4 linked regions of the Neodiprion lecontei genome follow. Each later gene encodes a partner of the first gene's protein in a complex. Links are inferred from orthologs where the notes say so. Each region holds a gene or a part of one and is shown in the gene's direction. Other genes may lie near its edges.

What was found.
Region 2: transcription initiation factor TFIID subunit 3 (region 1) and transcription initiation factor TFIID subunit 13 share a complex: the UniProt entries of both Homo sapiens proteins name them as parts of the TFIID basal transcription factor complex. The link is inferred for Neodiprion lecontei from reciprocal best matches to the Homo sapiens genes TAF3 and TAF13.
Region 3: transcription initiation factor TFIID subunit 3 (region 1) and transcription initiation factor TFIID subunit 11 share a complex: the UniProt entries of both Homo sapiens proteins name them as parts of the TFIID basal transcription factor complex. The link is inferred for Neodiprion lecontei from reciprocal best matches to the Homo sapiens genes TAF3 and TAF11.
Region 4: transcription initiation factor TFIID subunit 3 (region 1) and transcription initiation factor TFIID subunit 8 share a complex: the UniProt entries of both Homo sapiens proteins name them as parts of the TFIID basal transcription factor complex. The link is inferred for Neodiprion lecontei from reciprocal best matches to the Homo sapiens genes TAF3 and TAF8.

What each region holds. Positions count from the first base shown.
Region 1 is NC_060264.1:28,407,202-28,412,378, forward strand, and holds the start of transcription initiation factor TFIID subunit 3, read left to right. Parts: upstream 1-1,678; 5' UTR 1,679-1,988; intron 1,989-2,427; 5' UTR 2,428-2,472; coding exon 2,473-2,638; intron 2,639-2,755; coding exon 2,756-2,998; intron 2,999-3,143; coding exon 3,144-4,306; intron 4,307-4,399; coding exon 4,400-4,957; intron 4,958-5,091; coding exon 5,092-5,177. Other genes in the region: girdin, read right to left, coding at 1-258, 362-450, 577-627. UniProt on the Homo sapiens protein: The TFIID basal transcription factor complex plays a major role in the initiation of RNA polymerase II (Pol II)-dependent transcription.
Region 2 is NC_060263.1:20,310,524-20,315,201, forward strand, and holds transcription initiation factor TFIID subunit 13, read left to right. Parts: upstream 1-1,686; 5' UTR 1,687-1,829; coding exon 1,830-1,856; intron 1,857-1,991; coding exon 1,992-2,229; intron 2,230-2,296; coding exon 2,297-2,415; 3' UTR 2,416-3,269; coding exon of another isoform or gene 3,270-3,274; 3' UTR 3,275-3,653; downstream 3,654-4,678. Other genes in the region: uncharacterized protein LOC107221582, read left to right, coding at 4,539-4,654. UniProt on the Homo sapiens protein: The TFIID basal transcription factor complex plays a major role in the initiation of RNA polymerase II (Pol II)-dependent transcription.
Region 3 is NC_060261.1:39,665,353-39,672,303, reverse strand, and holds transcription initiation factor TFIID subunit 11, read left to right. Parts: upstream 1-2,007; 5' UTR 2,008-2,402; intron 2,403-2,585; exon of another isoform or gene 2,586-2,587; 5' UTR 2,588-2,588; coding exon 2,589-2,732; intron 2,733-2,969; coding exon 2,970-3,223; intron 3,224-3,313; coding exon 3,314-3,401; intron 3,402-3,686; coding exon 3,687-3,783; intron 3,784-3,978; coding exon 3,979-4,112; 3' UTR 4,113-6,193; downstream 6,194-6,951. Other genes in the region: ER degradation-enhancing alpha-mannosidase-like protein 3, read right to left, coding at 6,532-6,951. UniProt on the Homo sapiens protein: The TFIID basal transcription factor complex plays a major role in the initiation of RNA polymerase II (Pol II)-dependent transcription.
Region 4 is NC_060262.1:2,041,305-2,046,133, forward strand, and holds transcription initiation factor TFIID subunit 8, read left to right. Parts: upstream 1-2,233; 5' UTR 2,234-2,479; coding exon 2,480-2,609; intron 2,610-2,700; coding exon 2,701-2,987; intron 2,988-3,061; coding exon 3,062-3,212; intron 3,213-3,315; coding exon 3,316-3,462; intron 3,463-3,536; coding exon 3,537-3,694; 3' UTR 3,695-4,245; downstream 4,246-4,829. Other genes in the region: probable small nuclear ribonucleoprotein G, read right to left, coding at 1,204-1,254, 1,357-1,481, 1,688-1,710, 1,861-1,892. UniProt on the Homo sapiens protein: The TFIID basal transcription factor complex plays a major role in the initiation of RNA polymerase II (Pol II)-dependent transcription.

The sequences.
Region 1 (5,177 bases):
ATTTTAGTGATGAATTTTTCTTTGTTGGGGCATTGAACTGCGCATCCCAGTAGAAGTAACAGAAGTAACTTGATTTCTCCAATAGCAGTTTCGGGCTCTTTTCCCAACTTGACAGTGTCAGGTAACACTAAAACAAGGTGACCCAATTCCTCTTCGTAAAATTGCTTAATGTTTCCAATGATAGCGTTTAAATTCTTTGTTCTCATCGCTGGATTTCTAACACTCGGTACGACCCTGTCATGCATAGGCTCTGGGTTTCTATAAAGGATTGAAAGAGAACATTCGATGAAAATCATTTTTAAAAGTCGAGAATCTAACACATGACAAAACAAAATAGAAGAAATTCTATGTTTGTGTTTACATTTGTAGGAAGACATCGTGCAGTGCAACTCCGTCAACCAAATCTTCATAGTTGACAAGGGCGTCAGGTTCCTTAAGGCAGCTTGTGAACTATAATGAGTAATAACATGTGAAGAAAAACTTACCAAATATTTGGAATGAGACTATTGTAATAGAGTTTATCTAATCTGAGGCTGAAGCCATACTTTGTGTTGAAGTTAGAAAAACAATAATTACCCAAGTGACGAGAGGGCCGGATAAAAAGTCTTCAACACTTGATGTTGCCATAATCGTTGTTTGTTTTCTTGATCAACCAGATAGTGAACGATCTTGGACGTCTATTCAACAAGTCGTTGGATTTTTTGGCAAATGGTAAACGAGTAAAGGGTACTCTTGTAAAAAAGTTCGGAAGACCCTTGATCGGCTCCAATAGCCTTAAAATAGCTCGAGGTATGTGTAAAAAAAATAGTGTCGGTCTATCATAATGAATACACACATATTCTAAATATATTAATCGTGAATGGGGTAGAAGATGCCGTTATCAAAACGGAGAAATGCCTCCCAACGGCACTGACAGTTCGCTGCGTCGCCGAATACAATCGACGGAAGTTATTTTGTTGTGCTAGGTCCCTGAGAGAGAAAGAGAGCCGATAGTTTCGCGATAGTTTCGCTAGGGGAGCAGTTTTGTATGTGTGTAACTCCGTGAGATCATCATGACTCACTCGGTTTTCTTTTTTTTCGCTTCACGGATTTGTCAGATATCAGTGGTATGGAGTAGAGACACGAGTATGGGGTATGATCTGTCCGGCGTTGCCAACCGTAAAAAAATTTCTTTCGGTTCAAGAATTTTGATGTCCGCCGATGAAACAAGAGGAAATTTTTTTCTCAAGAAATGTGGTATTTTTGCCTGAAAATGTAGCGAAATTTTATCACTTTTGAATAATTTTTTTCCCGTGTGGAGTGGATGGAAAGCACTCGGATACGCCATCTGGTGGCGATATTTAACATCTGAGCGAGTAGGTCGAATCGCACAGCTGACTATTGATTTATGTGCAAATTTAAAAAATATCTTGCAATGAAAGTTTCATATTATATTTTGAAATTACAAAAACAAAATGTATTCTTATAAAATTACCCTTATCTACATTTGTTTATGCACAACGTGACTTACTCAAACTAGTGCATATTTTCACCGCTAGGTGCAATTTCTAAGCCACGCCTCTGCCAGAGATCCTAATGGTTCCATTGGCTGGAATTCCGTATTCCGTACGATTAAGTTCGTGTGTACGGTATTGGTATTCCGCTGTTCCGTGGCTGTTTGTCCTCTCTGGTTTGTCGTTAGTCCTGTAAGTTTCGCGGAAAGAGGAACGACTGGGAATGATTTCATATATAATAGATAGTCTATGGCTTGGCAATAGCTACCAGGAATAGTAGAAGTCTATGGTTGACTGCTTGCCAAGACTAGAAATGGTGGCGAGGCGAGTGTTCCGGAGTGCGTTACGCTGTTCTTTTTGTCGTATTTTTGGCAGGTTCATGTATTACGTTTGTGAATAATTGTGCAAAACAATGCCGAGAACTAAGTCTAGGCGAATTTCTGTGATGTCAACGTAAAAATCCAAGTCTCTCAACGGCGGATAAAGTTTTATCAGGTAAGAAGTAATTTCTCGCGTTCACTTTCTGGGGTAGGTGAACTTTCCAACTTGTCTACTATGCAAAGATACGGAAGTCTTTCACCTGTGAAATAATTATTTTGAAAAAAGATATTAGTATTCGATTACTCCTCAGCATTTCGCAGGAGTATATTTCTGTACATCGGGTCACTGCTGCAATGTTGTGAACAAGTTAATTTCCATACATTTCATTTACACAGTTCCTTTGAATTATCGAGAAATTTCCTAAAAAAAATGTACTGACTTTTTTGCTAGGTTAGTTCTGTATTATCGTGCTAGTTTATCTGATTGAGAATATACCAAACTGAAGGTGGAATACCTCCGTAAAATTTTATCCTCACTCACAACGATCTAGTCTGAGTGAGTCACCTAGATTTATCTTTGTAGAAATAAAAGAGGGTTGATTATTGTTTTTCAGGTCATCAGTGTTGTCCTATGAGTAAAATTTTTGAATATTGTCAAAATGGCAGCAGAATACAGTAGAAACGTATTAAGAGTAGTGGTGGCTCAAATATGCCAAACGATCGGATGGCACTCAATAAATTCTACGCCGCTGGAATTCTTGGTCGATCTCATGCAAGAGTACCTAACGAGGACATCTAAATTGACTCACCAATATGCCGAAGTCTGTGAGTAGCCACTTTTGAACTATAAGAATCCTAAATTCAGAAACATAAGGTTTCATAAATAAAACCAAACATTTAATTGTACTGCAAGTGAATTGAAGCATATATGATTAATTTCAGTGGGAAAAACGGAACCGAACCTCGATGATCTTGGATTAGCCTTTCAGCACATGAATATAGACATTCAAGAACTAGCAGAATACGTTAAAAATGTTGATTCAGTCCCATGTGCCATCGAGGTACCTAAATTTCCTGTACCTCGCGAAAGTCATATGAATTTTTTGAAGCCAGGAAGCAGAGAGGTCGTTACTAGGCCTGTTCATGTTCACGAACACTTGCCAGCTATGTACCCTGACACAGAAGGTATGAGTTGATGAGAAATATGCGAGTTACGAAATGCACAAAAACTGATCATTGGATAAGTTTAAAAAAATTAATATTCCCTAACACGAAAACTCTTGATGATTTTGTTCCAATTAAAACTGGGAATCAATATTTCATATTGTAGATGAATATCCTCCAACTAAATCTGAAAACCCATCTGAAACAACTCCAGAAGTAACGCCTTTAAACGGCTCTCCACCTGACGGATCGGCGAACATATCGCCACAAAGTACGTCGCCACAAGTGGTTTTCAAACGCCCTGGAGATCCAGTGTCTCTTGAAAGTCCAATAGCTAAGCGACCAAGAGTAGTCGAGGAAGGTAGACCACTGCGTGAGATTCATAGTGTGATGATGACTACTTCAGGGTTTTTGTCCCCTGCCAGGGAGGGGAAACTTCCCGAAGCTCGAACACCTCAACAAGCTCGATCAGACTCTCCGTCGCCAAGCTCGTATCCAATGGTTCCCCCTGAATTGAATTCCGACAAAAAGCCAAAGAAAATTGTGAATAAAAAGAATGGAGAAGATAGGAAACTTGATAAAGAAAATAAGAAGAAGGACAGAGCGAAGGAGCTCTTTAAACCAGATAAAATTGATGATAGTAAAGTTAAAAAATTAGCTGGCATGAAGGAACTTGCCAAATTGAAAGCCCTAAAGCCAGGTGGTGGCAAGAGCCAAACAGGGATAGCTGGTCCTTCAGCAAGGCCTTCAACACCTAAACTTTCACCTCCAAAACCTGCCGGGAGTCCGAAGCCTCCTAAAGTAGTGCAGCCAAAAATGAAGCTAGAAAAATCTGAACCAACGAACAGTAGTTTGGTGCAAGAAAGGAAAGAAGAGAAGGTAGACAAGTTACCGTCCGAGCCCGACAAACAGAAGCTCAACATTTTCAAGAAAATCTCAAAGCCCCGGGACGATAAAGAAAAGGATACTCCAGAGAATAAACACAAGGATTTGGACTCGCGTGAAAGTTCGCCAGGTTTGATAATCGACGAGAATATCGAGAAGCTGAACAGAAAAATTGACTCAGAGGCGAAAACTGAGGAGAAGAAGACACCCCATACACCCGATGTACATGTACAACCTGATTCCGGGGATCCAACTGGTCTTCAAAGCCCATCCTCTGACATCTACATGTTCGATGATATGTCGCCACCAGGCACTCCTAGTACGCCTAAAACTCCAGAACTTAACGTACCTGTGGTTATAGATCAGAAAAAGAAACGGAAAGAGAAAGGAAAAAAGAAGGAAACCAAATTAAAAAGTCCCAAGCAATGCATTAGTCCCAAAAAGGTAAAAAATTGTCAATGATGTCAAGTAGTTTTTACAAATTACCACCGGTATCTCATCAACCCATAATGACGCTTTGGTTTCATGTTTCTTTAGATCAAAATGTCAAACGATTTGGTGGAGCCGGATACACCGGAGAGGCCAAAGACTCCGCAGGCACCAGAACCGCCACTTAGAGAATTAGGACTGCCTCCGACAATGCCGTTTCCATTCTTTCCAACTTTTCCACCAGCTCCTGGTCTCATTCCGCCTCCCATTGGTCACCCATTGTTTCCAAGGTTTCCTCTTCCACTGAGCAGAGGGGTGCCGCATCCTGCAATGCCTAATTTACCATTGCCCCCAAGATTCGTTGGACTGAACACTAAAGTAGACGACTTTCCACCTCCAAAATCTAAGCCTTCTGAACGGGAGAAACCGCTTCCTATACCAGCGGTGCCCAGCTTACCTATCCCACCAGCAAAGCCCGAAAAAGTGGAAAAAGAGAAACCCGAGAAGATCCCAAAAATCTCTAAACATGACAAGGAGTTTGTGGCGCAACCCATCACCCCAACCTTGCAACCTTCGAATTTAGTTTTACCAGTAATAAATAATAATTTTGTGACCAATTCCTCTTTGCTCACACCAAAGAGCCCGAAAGTTGATAAAATTGACAAGGTAATGTTGTTTTTTATGCTATGGAGTCGTATTGAGAGAAAGTTTGTAGTTTGAATAGAAAATGAACTGTTGTTATTTGCCGGCAATCAATTTTTACACATATTTAAACTATTGCTAACAATTACCTGTTGCAGAAATTGAAAGAGCACAAAAAAGAGAAGAAAGATAAGCTGAAAAAGAAGAAAGAGAAGAAGGAAAAACATAAAGAGAAGGGAGAAAA
Region 2 (4,678 bases), on another chromosome or scaffold:
ATGCAAGCAAGACTAAGCATACACCTTATAAAAAAAAGACCCGAACCAAGGTTGGTGGGTCTTACAACTTGTTTACGTGTTGATTAAAATATCACGATTTATTTTTAACCGAATTACCGACTAATTCGGTAATGTTACAATTAACGACGTTGGTCAAATCGAATAAACATAAACACACGCTACAACCGCAATCATATTATTAAACAAAAAAGATTTTCCCAAGCTGATCGAATTCGATTACAGATTCTAGAAATGCTACTGTACGGAAACAAGGAGGGAATCTTAGAATTTCATGTATATTACGTAATAAGTAAAGGGTGTATGAAGAATATTTAAAATACATGGAATAACATCGTATTAAAAAAATCAACGAACGCTCTTTTAACTGAAGTGCTGTCAATTTTCTCCAGTGATTGCCTGTATCACGTATTATTATTATTGTTGTTGTTGTTGTTGTTGTTGTTGTTGTTATTATTATTATTCATAGAAACAGAACGTTTCCTCTATTTCATTCATACATACAGCTCTTTCATTAGACAGATAACATTTTGCCTTATCGACGCATCCCTTACCGTCAGCAGAAAGGGATCCGCTTTTGTATTTTTCGTATCCTCGATTTAGTAGCGCCTTCTGACACGGAACAGATTTTGTAAAGAATTTTTGAGGTACCTGAACGGTAAATGCATGTCGTATTTGCTGTGTACTATTTAGCAACTCGAAAGCAGTGAGTAATGCACAGCGCATTTGTCATAGTCGTAGAATAACACAATTTCGGATTAGATTTATACAAAATTTTGCAACATATTTAAGATTATTTGACAGATCAATCGGCCGCGCTTTTGCGCGCCGATTTCGCAAACGGTACATGACAAAGTAAAGCACTGTCGATGTGCTCAGCCTTCGGCTCTTAAGTCGAATATCTTACAAGTAATCAAGTTTTCAAATTTGACAGCGCCTTTTGCGCGTCACCCTGATAATTTTCGGGTTCTAAGTGAAGGCATGGCATTTGTATAGTGATAGCGAAGAATCTTGGCGTAAGTATTCCCGAAATTGGGTGGGTGCAGACCTAGGTCCACCTTTTATCTTGATTGATGTGAATGATACATGTAAGGTGATTAAATTTGCCCTTTTTCGATCTTACAAAGCCATCAATTACCTTAGGGACATAGCGTTGATGCAAGTTGTTCTCGATAACATTTTTAAGTGGTTTGAGTTGAACGAAACGACATGCAACATTGTTAAATGTGATTCTATAACATTTGGTAAAAAAAAAAATCATTCAAAGGATTTCACTTATTATAAATTGGGAAACTGTTACTTCATACAGATCACTGAAGTTAAGGAATTCTAGGTATTTATTTTAATAACAAATTAACTTTTGTAAGACACAAAAAAAACGGCAATAAATTTCAAAGTAATTAAGATAATATTAACCATTGTTTGCCGTTAATTTAAAGCATATGAAGTTTTTTAAATATTTAGTATTACTGCAATAACATTTGTTAATGTTTATGATGCGTTTATTTTCGACCACTGCAGTGGCATTTTGTTATGGTAAATATGCTCTGTATTATCCACTGAGTTCAACCCTCAGCAACGAATCCTGCTATGCCGTCGGCGTTTTTTCGTCTCACTATTAGGAATGTTTCGTTTTCGACATTTGGCATCACTGACTAACGTAAGCTTCGTGAGATGGGTTTTGACACAGAAACTAGTAGATCTCTGTTTGACAAGTGTTGGAGTTTTCAACGAGAGTTTTCTGTCAATTAATCTTGTTCAAAAGTCGTTATTTAATTGCCAGATTCTTGTGAGTCAAACGAAATACGTCAATGGCTGCGGAGGAAAATTACGAGCAGGTAAATTGGTCATAATGAAATGGTTTGTTCATAATTGAGGGTTGAGTACGAGCTAAGCAAAATAATCTAGCCTAACGTAAAGTAACCTAACTCCTGGAGACCTTAAGCCTTGATTGGCATTCTTTATTTGATCAGTTCGAAGATGAGGAGACGGAGATTCCGATCGGAGGAACGCTTCCGGGTGGAAGAAAACGGTTATTTTCAAAGGAGCTCCGTTGCATGATGTACGGATTTGGCGATGACCAAAATCCATACACCGAAAGCGTTGACTTTCTGGAAGATTTGGTGATCGAATTCATCACCGAAATGACCCACAGGGCAATGGAAATTGGACGCACAGGCAGAGTGCAAGTCGAAGACATTGTCTTCCTTGGTGAGTGAGCGGGAATTTTAATTTGTTGTGCAATATTATCTTAAACTTGTTTCACATTGTTTTCCAGTAAGGAAAGATTCTAGAAAATACGCCAGAGTTAAGGATCTGCTGACAATGAATGAGGAGCTTAAAAAAGCAAGGAAAGCCTTTGACGAAGTGAAATACGCAGGTACTGTCAATCAGTAGGAAACCGGTTGATTGATATTATCAAGTAAAAACAAAAATATCATTGGTAGAGGTGTGTGAATTCATGATTTTTTGGTTTTTGTTATTGCAGAGTCTAATCCAAGTCTTGTTGCAATATATGAATAATTGGCCATCCAAACACATTCTGAAGTATTTTCTGAAACAAGTTTTCATCATAGCATAATATCCAATCAGGCTTGAATCAGACTCGTTAGTTTTAGTTTATTGCGTATAAAATAGAGCTATGATTTGTTGTTTATGAACTGATCGAGCGATGGTTTCTAACAGGAATGGGTGGCGTTACTGTAAATATTGCATCCTCACCATTGTTACTATTTTTTGTTTGGTTTGTTTTATTACTATGCAATTGGGTGGACTTTGTCATGTTTAAGTGGTTGCGCTATTGAATCTAAATATGGAGGTCACTGAGTTTCAATAATTGATCAAATTGGTCTGTTTTATTAAATTTAATACCAGGTAGCATGTAATTAGTGTTTTGCATCTCATTTTTATTTTGAATAGTCGGTTGTCAAATATATTGTAAATAAGTGTTGCATCATAATTGATTAATTATTGAGTTGCGTTTTAGAATGTTAAACCAAAACAAACAAGGTTGCCTGTTGAATTTATTCGAATGAATATCTTTTGTACATTTATAATTGAATACCATGGTACTTTAATGAATACATTTAACAATCGTTTTGGGTGAAGATTAGAAATGTGTACTGATGTTGCATAATTACTACGTCATCTAACTAAGTGATAATGAATCAACATAGTATCATATTTGAATAAATATTTTAAACGGAATTAGAAACGCTTGGTCTTAGTAACAACCTATATTTTACTGGCAGAATAACATCGTGCGGTGAAAAGAAATACCTTGGTTAAAGAAGGAGAAGGAAATGTGTAAAAATACTTGTATGGGCCCAAATCAACTATGCGAATGGTCTGCCAATTGCAATTTGCTGCAATTTTCAATTGGGCTTTGACACAGCCTATTTAATATCACTGCGACATGATCATCGAATTCCAGACTGCAACCAGATTCTCGATTTTAACGGAGTGATATGTTTGATGCAGTACAGAGTGAGTTTCTTGACTTGTTGAAGAATAATTCATCTCCGTATGTATGTACATATATTTATGTGTCTATTTGTGATACCTGGATTGAATTTATTTGTACATTCATGTAACTTGCTCAGGATTTTACCAATAATCAATGTATGGGCGTTGTACCAATGCTTGTTATATATTATACAGTACACGACTTTTCCCATATCATACATCCATTTATTTTTTTTGCCACATTTCTCCCGCATTTTCCGTGCAAAATTCCGGGAAAATTGGAATTTAGAACGTCATGCTGACATGCATCAACGTAGGAAGAGTTCGAAAAAAGGCGCGTTTTTTCGTGGGTCTAAAATGATTGGTTGATGCTAATTGATTACTTGAGAGCAAGACATCTGGTTAGTAAGTAGTGTCTTGGCGGAGTATTAGCACGGAACGATTGGTTCAGAGAAGCAAACGGTGAAGCATTAATTGATTACATCGTCATTAAAACAAAGGTGCTATCCTTAGTTCTGAGAATAAGGGCTTCTCTGATTGTGAACTGTACATGATTTTCGGAAGATATAACGGTGACGTGTGAAAATTGTATATACGCTGCTTAATACTTTATAGATGTGAGCTTGGTTGATAAAATAACAGGCAATGTGGCGTGTAAGAACTAATAATATGAGAATCTTGCACGTATGATCGTAACTGTATACGTCTGTATTGGTCTAAGAACTATGGTAAGGGTGCATAGGACTCTCTTGCGGTCACTACAATTTTGCTACAAGAACTTGCCTTGAACTTTTCCAAAATCAACTGCAAATTGTCGTTTTCGAGCTGATTAATACCGCACGTCGTTACTGTAATTTTTCGAACGGCTGCACTGAGAGCGGGTTCTTTAGAATTCATTCGCCATTGGACGAAAACCACGTGATTCGCACTGATTGCAACCACTGAAAAGATTATTCGGAAAATCAGTGCGGAAAATGCTGTAAGTCAGCAGACGACGCGAAGATTCACGTGTAGATACCGGCGTCCGCAGCAGCGGGTCGTAATTTCCCCGAATTATGGCTTTGGTAAAACAAACAGGTCCGTTGCCTACAGACGCCGTGCCTTTGGACAAAAACGAAGCTTTGCGATATCAAGTCGATATGCTGCGGCACTGGCCGAACCAATTAGAGGTGTAAGTCTCAACCCAACGTAACAT
Region 3 (6,951 bases), on another chromosome or scaffold:
CCGTATACATATATACTGCGGCGCCTACGACTCTAATGCACTGGTCTAAACGCACGTACACAACTAAAATTACCTTAAATGGAAGAGGAGTCGAAGAGTTTTTGGTCGTAAATTATATGAACCGTATTGTAGCAGTAACGACACACCGATGATGATAGTAATGATGATGACTATGATGACGATGCGTGGAGTTGTTATGAAACTGATAAACCGAGGTTTCGTTTGTAATTTCGATGCAGCTAGCTTTTTATTATCGGCGCTGAAACGCGTCGCTGAAAATCGAAATTTTTTTTCAATTGGGAATTTCGGTACATCGACTGTGTGATGATTAGATTAACAAAACGAATTAGTGTAAACCGAGCGTATATTTTCTCCGAGCGGGAAGATTCTTCAATCGGAAAATTTAACAAACTTGAGTCTCTATTCACTCTCGGAAAGTTGGAGAAGCTTTGAAACGGGAGGCATCGATATTCGTTTAGCAGATGTTAGGGAAAGAATTAAGGAAAGTGTATCGGATGTGGTAAGATAAAACTTACGTGTCTGATATTTCGACCGCATAGGCGGAAAGGAAAAAGGTCGAAAACTCGATCTCGTATACAATAATAACTTCACCTTCTCTCTTTTATTTCCAAGATATCAAAAACAGGGATATTGTATACTGAAAATTGACAGGCCAAGACAGAATTTTCGACGTCGTTTGAAAAAATTGTGAATGTAATTACATACACAGGATACAGACTTATGTACGTATCTACGTACGTACGTCAAACCCGCATTTACATTCGACTCCTCATTCGTGCAGGCGTCTAGTTTGACTTACCTACGTATGCATAGGTACTTTAAATTCTAGTCTTCGTGTACCTGAGCGTCTACGATCAGAATAAAGACCCGAGTTTCGAAAATGGTATAGGTGGGTATTACATGTGTGCATTGTATACAGTAACAGGCGAAAAATGACAGTGTGCATACGTGTTTACCTAAAAACACGCCTATAAATTGCCTCATTATTTTTTGCGACAATGGTATCTATCTGGCCATGTGCGAAAAAACGACAATCAAGTTTTGTACGCGCGTCTGTCTGTATAAAAAATGACGTATACGTAACGCTATTATTGCAGAGATTGCGGAGTCGCGATTGAGAATAACGAGATGAATCGCAACGCGGTAAATGGCAAACAATTAACCGTGCTGAGTAATAAAACGCGAAACAACCAAGCTGCTGCTAATCAAAATGCGTTGTCGAACTCTCGGTACGCGATCTGTTACATTTTCGATAGCAGAAAAGGAATGAGAATAAGAATAAAAAGAAAAGATTGGTAAACCGGTTTTTTACGCACAAACATCAAAGAACAAAACCCGCTGCAGGCTCTCTCCGACTTTTCAGCAATATAACATGACCAGTTTGACGGTTCCAATATGGAACTGTGCCATTTTTAAAGCGCGTTGGTTATTATACAGAAGATGTTTTTTTTTCCAACTAGTGTAAACGTGAGTCCATAAATATTATATTACGTATCGATGAGGAGGAAAGAGATACTCACATTTTAACACATCAACACGAAGAGTTGGCCGACATTAACGAGGGTTGAATGCTTGGTTGGCGAAGAACGAAGATTTCCGTTCGATTCCCTCGTTAATACGAAATCCAAATAAATATGCAAGAGGGAGAGGTAACTGAGACACTGTACTGTGTTTGTATTGTGTATATCCACCTGCACCTTTTCCTCCTCCTTCCTCCTCCTTCTCAAAGCCGCAACACTTGGCAAATGTCCGAGAGCCGTCTAAAATTCAACTTTGCCGATGTGTGCACAAGCGGTAGGTGGGTATATTTACCCCGTTTACACGGCGATGTACTCGACCCCTTTCGCCGTTAAATCACTCGGCTGTTAATAACCCTGATTGGGTAACCACGGCGTAGAAATTTTTACGCGAAACGCGACCGAAAGTACGAGAAAATTGTTAAAACAATCGAGTATTGACAAATGCGGCGTCGCGACACCGCCGCAACATTTCTCTCGCGATTGTTTCGATGGTTTGTGCTGCTGCCGCGCGGGCAACTTCGGAACTAACGAGGCGAACCTTACCCAGCGTATTTACGTTTCATCATTGTCGCCAATTTACGGTCCCAACGATTACGATCGTGACGACGATTTATTGATGGGGATTCTCCGTCGTCGGTTGTCGATATTTGCCGCTACTTTTGATAACCTCGGTGTAGTAATTTTGAAAAAGATAAATCGTCGCAAAGGCAGGTCACGCAGGTCGTGACGTCATTCGTGCAGTAAACACTCTCCTTCTGTCAAATCAGTCAATATCGCGCTACAAAAGCGGTTCAAATCAAATTATCTTCAGGGTTTAGGACGCGTCAGCTGACCGGACTGTTGCTGTTAAAAACATCGTGAGTTTCGTTACTTCTTCAGCCCTCCTTTGGACAGATTTTATTTCATAATTACACCGATTATGGTGTTCGGCTGTTTCTAACCTATATGCATGTGTACAAAATTTCACCGATTTTTAAAATTTATGCAATTTTGTATTTGATAGAACATTTTGGCCTTTTATTTTTATGAACTTTATTGCTTCAGAGAATGGATAATATTTTTGGTAAAGATGATTCTGGGAACGAAAGCGAGCTTGTCGATATTGAAGATAAGGACAGTCCGTCTAGACCCTCCGGAACCAGAGACAGCGATGGCATGGATATTGACGACGTTCCTTTGAAGGTGAAAGGAGTAAATATATTGAAATTTTCAGCTTCGTACTTTTGCAGTCGATATCGCTAATACGGAGGAGAATTTAGAACATTTTTATACTTATATTGCAATTATGAAAATCGAGAACTCGAATTTGCACAAAAATATAAGCAAAACTGATGATCTCCAATCTTTTTGTCATACTTAAATTGAGACTGATTTCTCATGCGGTTCTCGTCAAATTGTTTTGAATAATTTGGTGTTTTAATTTTAAAGAATGAACCTGACACTTCAAGTCAGAATTCTCAATCAGACACAGAAGAGTCAAGTCCCCAACAAACTAGTAGCGGAATGCTATCAAGTGACCATATGGACTTGAAGAATGATCCAGAGAGTCAAGATGAGCATGAAGACATTTTTGGAAATGATATAATGCTCCCACATTCGGTACCGACAAAAATAGATGGAAGAAGAGAAAGTAGAGAAAAGAGTAAAAAGGAACTGGAGGAAGAAGAGCGGGAGAAAATGCAGTATGTTAAATATTCACCTTTTTGGCTTCTATTTGTGAAGCGACGCATTTGACAATACGTACAAAATTACTTTCACCATTTTTATTCTAGAGTTTTGGTATCAAATTTCACGGAAGATCAATTGGACAGATACGAGATGTACAGAAGAGCTGCATTTCCCAAAGCAGCAATCAAAAGAGTAATCAGATTTTATCAAAGCTTTTAGTTAGTTCTGCATTCTCAAAATTATTCGAAGTGTAAATTCCTTGAAGAAACTCCTTGTTAAATAAAAATGCATGTAAGCTTCTTGAAAGATAACCTTCACGAACTAATATTTTACTCGCGTTTTTTTTTCAAATATCTACTCAATATTGATTGCATAAATTTACTCCGACCAACAATCACAAGGTCAATACCTAATATCTTATTGCCAAAGAAAATGAACAGACGGCTCTTCCATTTTGTTGTTTTCGATTCTTTTCAGATTATGCAGACAATTACGGGCTGCTCGGTATCTCAAAATGTCGTGATAGCCATGTCAGGTATAGCCAAGGTGTTTGTCGGCGAAATTGTTGAGGAAGGTACGATATGAAAAACTATATCTCTTGCACAAGATAATTACAAACTCCGATGTATGCAAATTTCGATGGCTCAAAAAATTGACGAATATTTTTATTGGAGAAAAAGATATTGTAAAATCCATAGTAACTCTTTCACTGTAAAGAATATAGAGAGCAGAAGCTGAAATAATGTAACAAATATGCAACTGTTTAAAGCTTTGGATGTCATGGAAACTCACGAAGAAACGGGCCCATTGCAACCAAAACATTTGAGGGAAGCGGTACGCAGATTACGACTTCAGGGACAAATACCAAACGGTAGAGCACAAAAGGCATTTTTCAGACTTTGAGGAAAGCATGAGCTTTTTTGCAAATGGTCAAGAAAAATGTTATTAAAGTGCAGCACGTAGTACAAACGCTTTTGTTATAACAAAAAAGGCTAATAGCTGGAAAAACGTCCAGAAGACTTCCAAAAGCTACAGCCAATGTTAGAAAATGCGAAATGCCAATCAATATCTATTGTAATAATATTATGTTTATGCATTAGCGTCTAATTTTAAACCTGTAAAAGGTCATTAGAGTTAATTTATTAAATCATAACAGAGGCAATAAATGAAATTCTGTTATGATTTTAGATCTAGCTATACAATATAATTTTAACGTTACTTGTAAAATACATTTGAAATCTCTTCTCTTCTCTGGCAGTATAAATTTTTTCATCCGAGAGTTATAGTCTAATCTGAAAGCTTTCAATGTATGTTTCCCAAAGAGAATTCTATTCTTGTAACATTGTTCTCTTGACCCACAAATGTAGAAAGAATTATATTTTCTCTTATTGTTACATATAATGAATAAAAAGATATATCACTAAAATCCTGATACCTGTTGTATTTCAACTATGAGAAATACCAAAAAACCATGACTAAATGAATTCGTACTAGGGTATTTTTCGAAAGATGAAATTTTTTCAAAAGTATATCTCGACACGTGCACAAAAAAGCATGATTTATAACGATTTTATTTCCAATTATCAATAATAGTCATGCGTCACCCCCGTTACCAAAAACCTCATTCCGTAAATATCTTTACTGAAATTGATTTATAGTATACTATGATACAATCTTCTGTATTTTGTTATTCTAATATGTACAAAGAGTTAATCATACTATAAAAATTTGTAGTAACTTTACTTCTCTTAAAATCTTAAATATCCTTATGTTATTTTTGGCAGATAATTACTAGTTATATGGTATTATAATTATCTTATTTTCATTTAACAGTATTTAAGAAAGAGTCATTCAGAATTACAATATATTTATAAGTAAAAAGCTGATATTCATATTAGGATCTTATTTACACTTATAAGTTATATGCATTCTCTGACAGCAGTAAGCACGTAAGTATATAACAACTAAAAATTACAACTTAATATTCTTAACTGTTCATCGTACGCTTGCAGATGTTCACTACATTTCAAAAACCATTGCTCATTGAAATGATGGAATATATTTTTATACCACGATATAATATTAAAGAGTAGTTGATAGATCTACTCGCTCGATTACAAATATTATACATTATCATTGTAAAATAGCTAACATAAAGCATTATGTTAGTATTCCTCCGGTAATTAGAAAATTTACTTTACAAATACATACAACAGATATTATACATCTTGCATCGTCTATATCACGAATTAAGAAATATTTTACACAGTTCTATTATTATACTTCATTTCTTTACAACTGGTTAACACACATATTTCAATATCTGTACACTAATCCGCCATATATTATCTATTTAAATTATATCTCAGTTTTCTGTACACGAAATCTGATTAGTTTGTTAAAATTGAAATAAAAAAAATCAAACATTCAAGTAGAAATTATAGTTCTCCGATAATTGGTATCATTAAAGTTGCATTACAGATATGTGATTTTTGCAAATAAAAAATGAAATTTCAAGTTTCTTTCTCATCTTTTACCTTTAATGGTTCGTTTTTTTCCGGTTTTTCTTAAGCTAAATAATTATACGATACAAAGCGTAATTATAAAATACTATCCAAATTGTGAATAATAAACACCTTCCAATGCAATAGGAAACTTAGGATAAAATTAAAAGCTTCAAATTATGGATAGTAATAAGTGAATGATATTCACCAGATTTTTTTTCGCTGCCGAAAGTTTCATATTTTCATCAACTGTTGAACTTAGTAAAGCAAAGTATGCATATCTTTAGGTTAAATTCACTGTTTCCTGCAGTTTTATACCTTTGACAGTCTACGTACGTTATATTCACAACCACATCAATGTGTATTGAACTATCGAAAATATATATACATTATGTAGTTAACAAAACCTCATGCATTGTCTCCAAATTATACACGGCATTATTCGTGATTTCATTATTATTGCAAGTTTTTAACATAGAGTCCATTTTCGAAAAAAGCACCATTAGTTGATGATTTAAAAAAAAGATATAGTTTCGCGCTACGCTTCATGAGTGATTTCAAGTAATAAGTAATCATTGTCATATTTCCCATCTCATGACATACATTGTTAGATTAACTTAATTCTTATTTCTATATGCATAGAAATTTTAGGTATAAAAATGTTAAAGCTCGCATCACTTGAGTCTTGAGCTAATCTTAATTTGTCAATTATTTTTTTTTTCACGGTTTATATTTTACTACCAAGTATCAACTAGTGTAATTGGACTTTTCTTTATTTCAATACATTTATTATCAAACCTATAATCAAAATACCATCATTATAATTCGTCGTCGATATGTTTTTTACCTTCTCTGGTATCGGCATTAATTTTTATTTGCGAGCCAGCATGTTCTTCACTTACGACTTTCCCGTTTTTCCGTTCTTGATTTCTTCCTTTCTCTTCTTCTTGTTCTTCTTCTTCTTTGCCTCGATACTCATAATTACTCTTTTCTGGGTTAGCATATCCCGTCGATCGTATTTCTTTTTTTTGTTGAAATTCAGAAAATCCTTTCAATATTTTACCTTCATCAGATGCCCACAAAGGTTTTTTGAAATCCTCCAAAGGGTCATTCGAGCGAAGTTGCTCATCGGGTATGTGCTGGGTTTCTAAATTTATTTTTGTATTCAATTTAATTTCATTATTATTAAGGCTACGCATATTACTGTTATCTTTATTATTATTATTTTGAGAATCACT
Region 4 (4,829 bases), on another chromosome or scaffold:
TTTCTGTAGTTCTCTCGTTATATTTCGTTGCTAATAAGTAGGCCATTATACACTAAGTTATTACTTTAGCTAATATAATTTTCTGCATTGCATTGAAACTTTTCTTTGTACTCCCCTTTCTTTTTTTTTTTGACTGCTTACCGCACATTACGAAAGTAATAAGGTGTGTGTAGAATGATTCTATATTATCTTAAACAAGGATATCCTCAAACGAATTCATATAATTGCAAATGTAAAATTTTAAGATAAGAGGAAAAAAAATTAAGGTATTTACCGAGTATTCTGCACACTATTGTCAAATTTTAATTAAAAACTATGTGAGGGTAAGATTTTATGGTATTTCTGACAAAGGAAGCTATATTTGCTTCTTTATTTTATATACAATGTATAAAGTATGCACGCATTTATTTTTATGATTATACCTATTATTATTCTTGTAAGTCAGACCTTTGTTCCTGCTTCGAAGACTGATGAGCACTTACGACAGCAAAAATCCTCAGCTCATCGCAGATAGTATTATTAAAATTTTAGTTCCAAAACGGTTTCATTAAATCGGAATTATTCAGTCTAATAAAAACATCAGTAAAAAGATTGATTTTATGAACATAGCAAATGTATTTTGACATTTTTAAAATAGAATTTGTATAATTTTTTTTTTATTCACTTCACCTGAATAACTCATTATAAGAATAATTGATTTAATCCAGTATGTCTCTGTACTGTGCAGTACGAATCTCAAATTGGCAAACTAACCCCTTGTACGATATTTTCGTATTTTTATAAAATCCAGTTATACATGTAACAGCGAAATGCCTACCATAATTAATTATATGCCATTGCACCATTTTTTTCCAGATTATATTTTGTGCACAATATATTTAATAATCAGCTTAGCTGTATTGAATGTTCACTTTCTCGTTGTTCCGAGCTAAGAAATGTGAGAAAATTGTGCTGCTTGGAATCCTGTTTTTTTTGTTTTATTTTATACTTGTATTTGAACATAAACGTTTGAATTCTTTTAGTCTTCATGATTTTTCTCCAAAATTATTGTCACTCCTAACTTATCATTCAATCATTTACAACTATGTGTACACTGTAAAATAAGTGAAAAATTAAATGTTAAATACGGCGTTACAAATACAAAATGTTTTTATTCTTTCTTTTTCTCTTAAATACATTCTTCCATCCGATTCTTTTTAATAATTATATTCTATCCAACGCCTCTAGCATTATGACACTGTTTCCTCGAATGACCTGAAATAACAAAAATGATATTGTCGTCAATACTTCGTGCGGATATAAAAAATGATTTGCATCTTTCCTCAAGCAATTGCTTTAGATTTTTTAAATTCTTACCACCATTCCAATGTTATTCTTCGTTCCGTCTTTGCATTCTTCGACTGTTTCGTCAATGACCATGTTCATGAACGGATCAAATCCTCGCAGGATGCCAATCACGTGTCTCCCGCCATTCAGTTTTACTGCCAATTGAAAGTATCGTTAATAAAATACATCAAATACCATTCCTCTCAATTTTCTAGAAGAGGGTTTCGTGCGCAACATGATATTTGGCAATATCAAATATTTATAACCTTCCAAAGCTAGGTTCAATGAACGTTGAAAAAATAAATGAATATCCCAAACCAAGTCAATATTATTTGATACTAATTTAATCCTCTGAACTTACGGGATAACTTTTTGTCCATGTATCTGAAAAATATAATGAAAAATTAGTATATATGGGCAATAAATGTACCGGTAGGTGAAGTCTAACCTTAAATTTAGCAACGTAACCTAAAAATTCTTGGCAAAGAACTGCGGTTATTCGGCGTCGGTTTGACACGCAAGTTTATCACTTACTTTTTCAATTCTGGGGGATGTGCTTTGCTCATTTTTAATAGATGTGTTGAATTTTAATTGAAAAATCGGGGCAGTTTGATGCTCACACTGTCCAACGATGAGATTACGAACAACGTAAAGCGACGTGAGACGCTTTTACAAATTTGAACATCTAAGGTGTGTTACTGCGCAGCCATCTCCACGAACAAGTCGTATTAAGAACCAACCGTATGAAGGCCATCTTGGATTTTCAATTGATCCCATTCAATACCATCTATATAGCGTACAATTTAACAAGTAGGAATCTCCACTGTACTTATAAGATACGTCATATAATTTCAAGAAGGCTTCTATGGTCGGCGCAGAACGGGACGAAATAGCGTCCACCGGTGGAACACGCTTTATTTTCTTACACTATAGGATGCTTCCATCGTAAGGTCCACGAAGCATGTAATACCATTTGTGGTAAGGTCAGAGTCAGGTTAGGTTAAAATTACAGCCAAACGAGAAACGAGATTTGAGAGGAAGAAAGTAATTTCTCCTGAAACCTCGTTTCTCATTGGCTCATAATTTGAACCTAACCCGACTCCAACCCTTCGATGGAAACAAGACCAAACAGTAATAGCCAGTTGTATTAAAAATGGAGACCCAAACAGTAAACACGAGAAGAAAAGTGTTAAATCATGTAGTTTGCAGTATTTTGGTCGAAAATGGTTTCGAAACGTGTGAAAGACAGGCGCTGGAAACCCTCACCGAAATGTTGCAGGCTTGTAAGTGAATTTAAGACTTCTTGAACGCTGTTAAACGAGTTTACCCTATAAACTAAAAAAGAATGCTTACCCGTAATTATGAACATTGTAGTTATCGTCGAGGTCGGAGATTCGGCGAAAAATTACTGCGAGCTGTCTGGGCGGACCGAGCCTCTGATAGCCGATGTTATTCTGGCCCTAATTAACATGGGAATCAAATTAGAAGGGATGGAGACGTATGGTAAACGTCTAAACAGGACTGTTCTGCCCCAACTTCAACAACAGATACAGGCCAAACAGCTCAATATTTTACAAGCTGGAGTAAAGCAAAATCATCCGTCGCACATACCTAATCATCTGCCACCATTTCCTGATCCTCACGCCTACATCAGGACGCCGGTGAGTCATAACTTCCATCAACTACTCATCATTTTGGTAGCACATTAGTGTAACTATCGACAAATGGTGTTCAGACACATAAACAACCTGTGACGGAATATGAAGCTATCAGGGAAAAGGCTGCATCGCAAAAACGGGACATTGAACGAGCCTTGACAAGATTTATTGCCAAAACAGGGGACACGCATAGTCTGTTCTTGACCGAAGACAACACCATGTTTCCCTGTAAGTGGTAGAATTAATTGAGTTTGGAAATTTTCAAAAGTAATATCTTATATTCTAAAATTATTGTTTTATTTATTAATGGATTTTCTCAACTTCTCTCAAGTGATAGCATGCAAGCCACAATTTCCCAGCTATTTGTCAGCACTTCTACCACAGGATCAAGTTTTTGAGCCTGATCAAGAGTTCCAGTTTGAACCGAGTCCGGTTCAAAAAAAGAAGAAGGCACCGCCTGTAGAAGACAAAGAAGAAGGTTTGTTCATAATCTATAGAGACAATGAGTCAGAAAAATGGTGAATCTTGTACTGATGATGTTTCAATTTTCAGCCCAAGCACAAGCAGATGGGACAGAGCAAAGTGGAGAGGCATTAGCCCAACAAGATGTGATAGACAATCCTTATTTGAGGCCAGGCAAACTGCCAAAGAATAAAATAACTGGTACGAATCCGACTGGTCCTGGAAAGAGAGAAGCGACAGACGTATGACTAAAGATTTAGGTATTATTTTGATATTTGGTTTTTAAGCACGGAACTTACTAACTGACAATTACTTTATTATTACTGATGCACAGAGGAAGATATTGTATATTTATATATAGTAAATTAAGTTATCATAAAATTAATAAATATATTTTAAAAAAAATAACAATCCGACTTTAGTTACTCAAGTTGTTATTATTGTTATCATAAATTGTGTAAATTTGCTGTGAGTCATTTTTTAATATAAAGGTCTACTGATTTATGTTGAGTACAATATTAATATATCTGTAGATATCCATAAAATTGCACAGCTCACTAGCACCGATATACATACAATAAGAAGGCAGCGTTTAAGGATTGATAAACATCACAACTATTTAAAGGGACCCTAGGTATTGCACGAGACATTATAAAAATAGATTATACAATATCGCATAGACGTACATATAACGATTACCGATTACATATGCACCCTACATTGCGAAGCTATTCATAGCTTAATTGGAAGCCTAACTAATTGCTTTTATTATAGATAATAATGACATGAGACCTTCATTGATTCTGTGAAAAAATATTAATGCCATGACAGTGCGACGATTTGATAACTGCAATTTAGTATATCAAATATGCAAAAAATTTTTTAACAAGCCTTTGTGAAATATGAACTATGCGTTCTTTGTTCAATGGATGAAGATCGATTATAAAATATTTACTTTCACTTATATTCTATGTAACAAACATGATTGGATTCGTCTAGACTCCTATAAAATGATAGACCAGGCATTGATTCGTAAAGTTTACTGTAATACCCTGTTTCTAATTTCTAATTTCCATTTATTTTGCTCTTTCTTGAAAGGCATTTGATTGTAGAAAATCACGCAACTACACGCGATTGTCGGACAAAATTTATTTTAATTTGCAGACAAAATTAGGTGTAACGAACACAACGACCGATCCAAAATTCAACACATTCTAAGTTCAGTCAAGTTCTTTCACCACAAGTAAAAAATTATCTATAGTTTGATGATGCAGTGTGATAAACTATTGCAGCAAGCTGAATATCCATATGTGTCTAATATCAGATTAGTACTTGATAAAAATATTTCAGCAAATTGTTGGCTTTCTTTTTAATTTGTTTCAT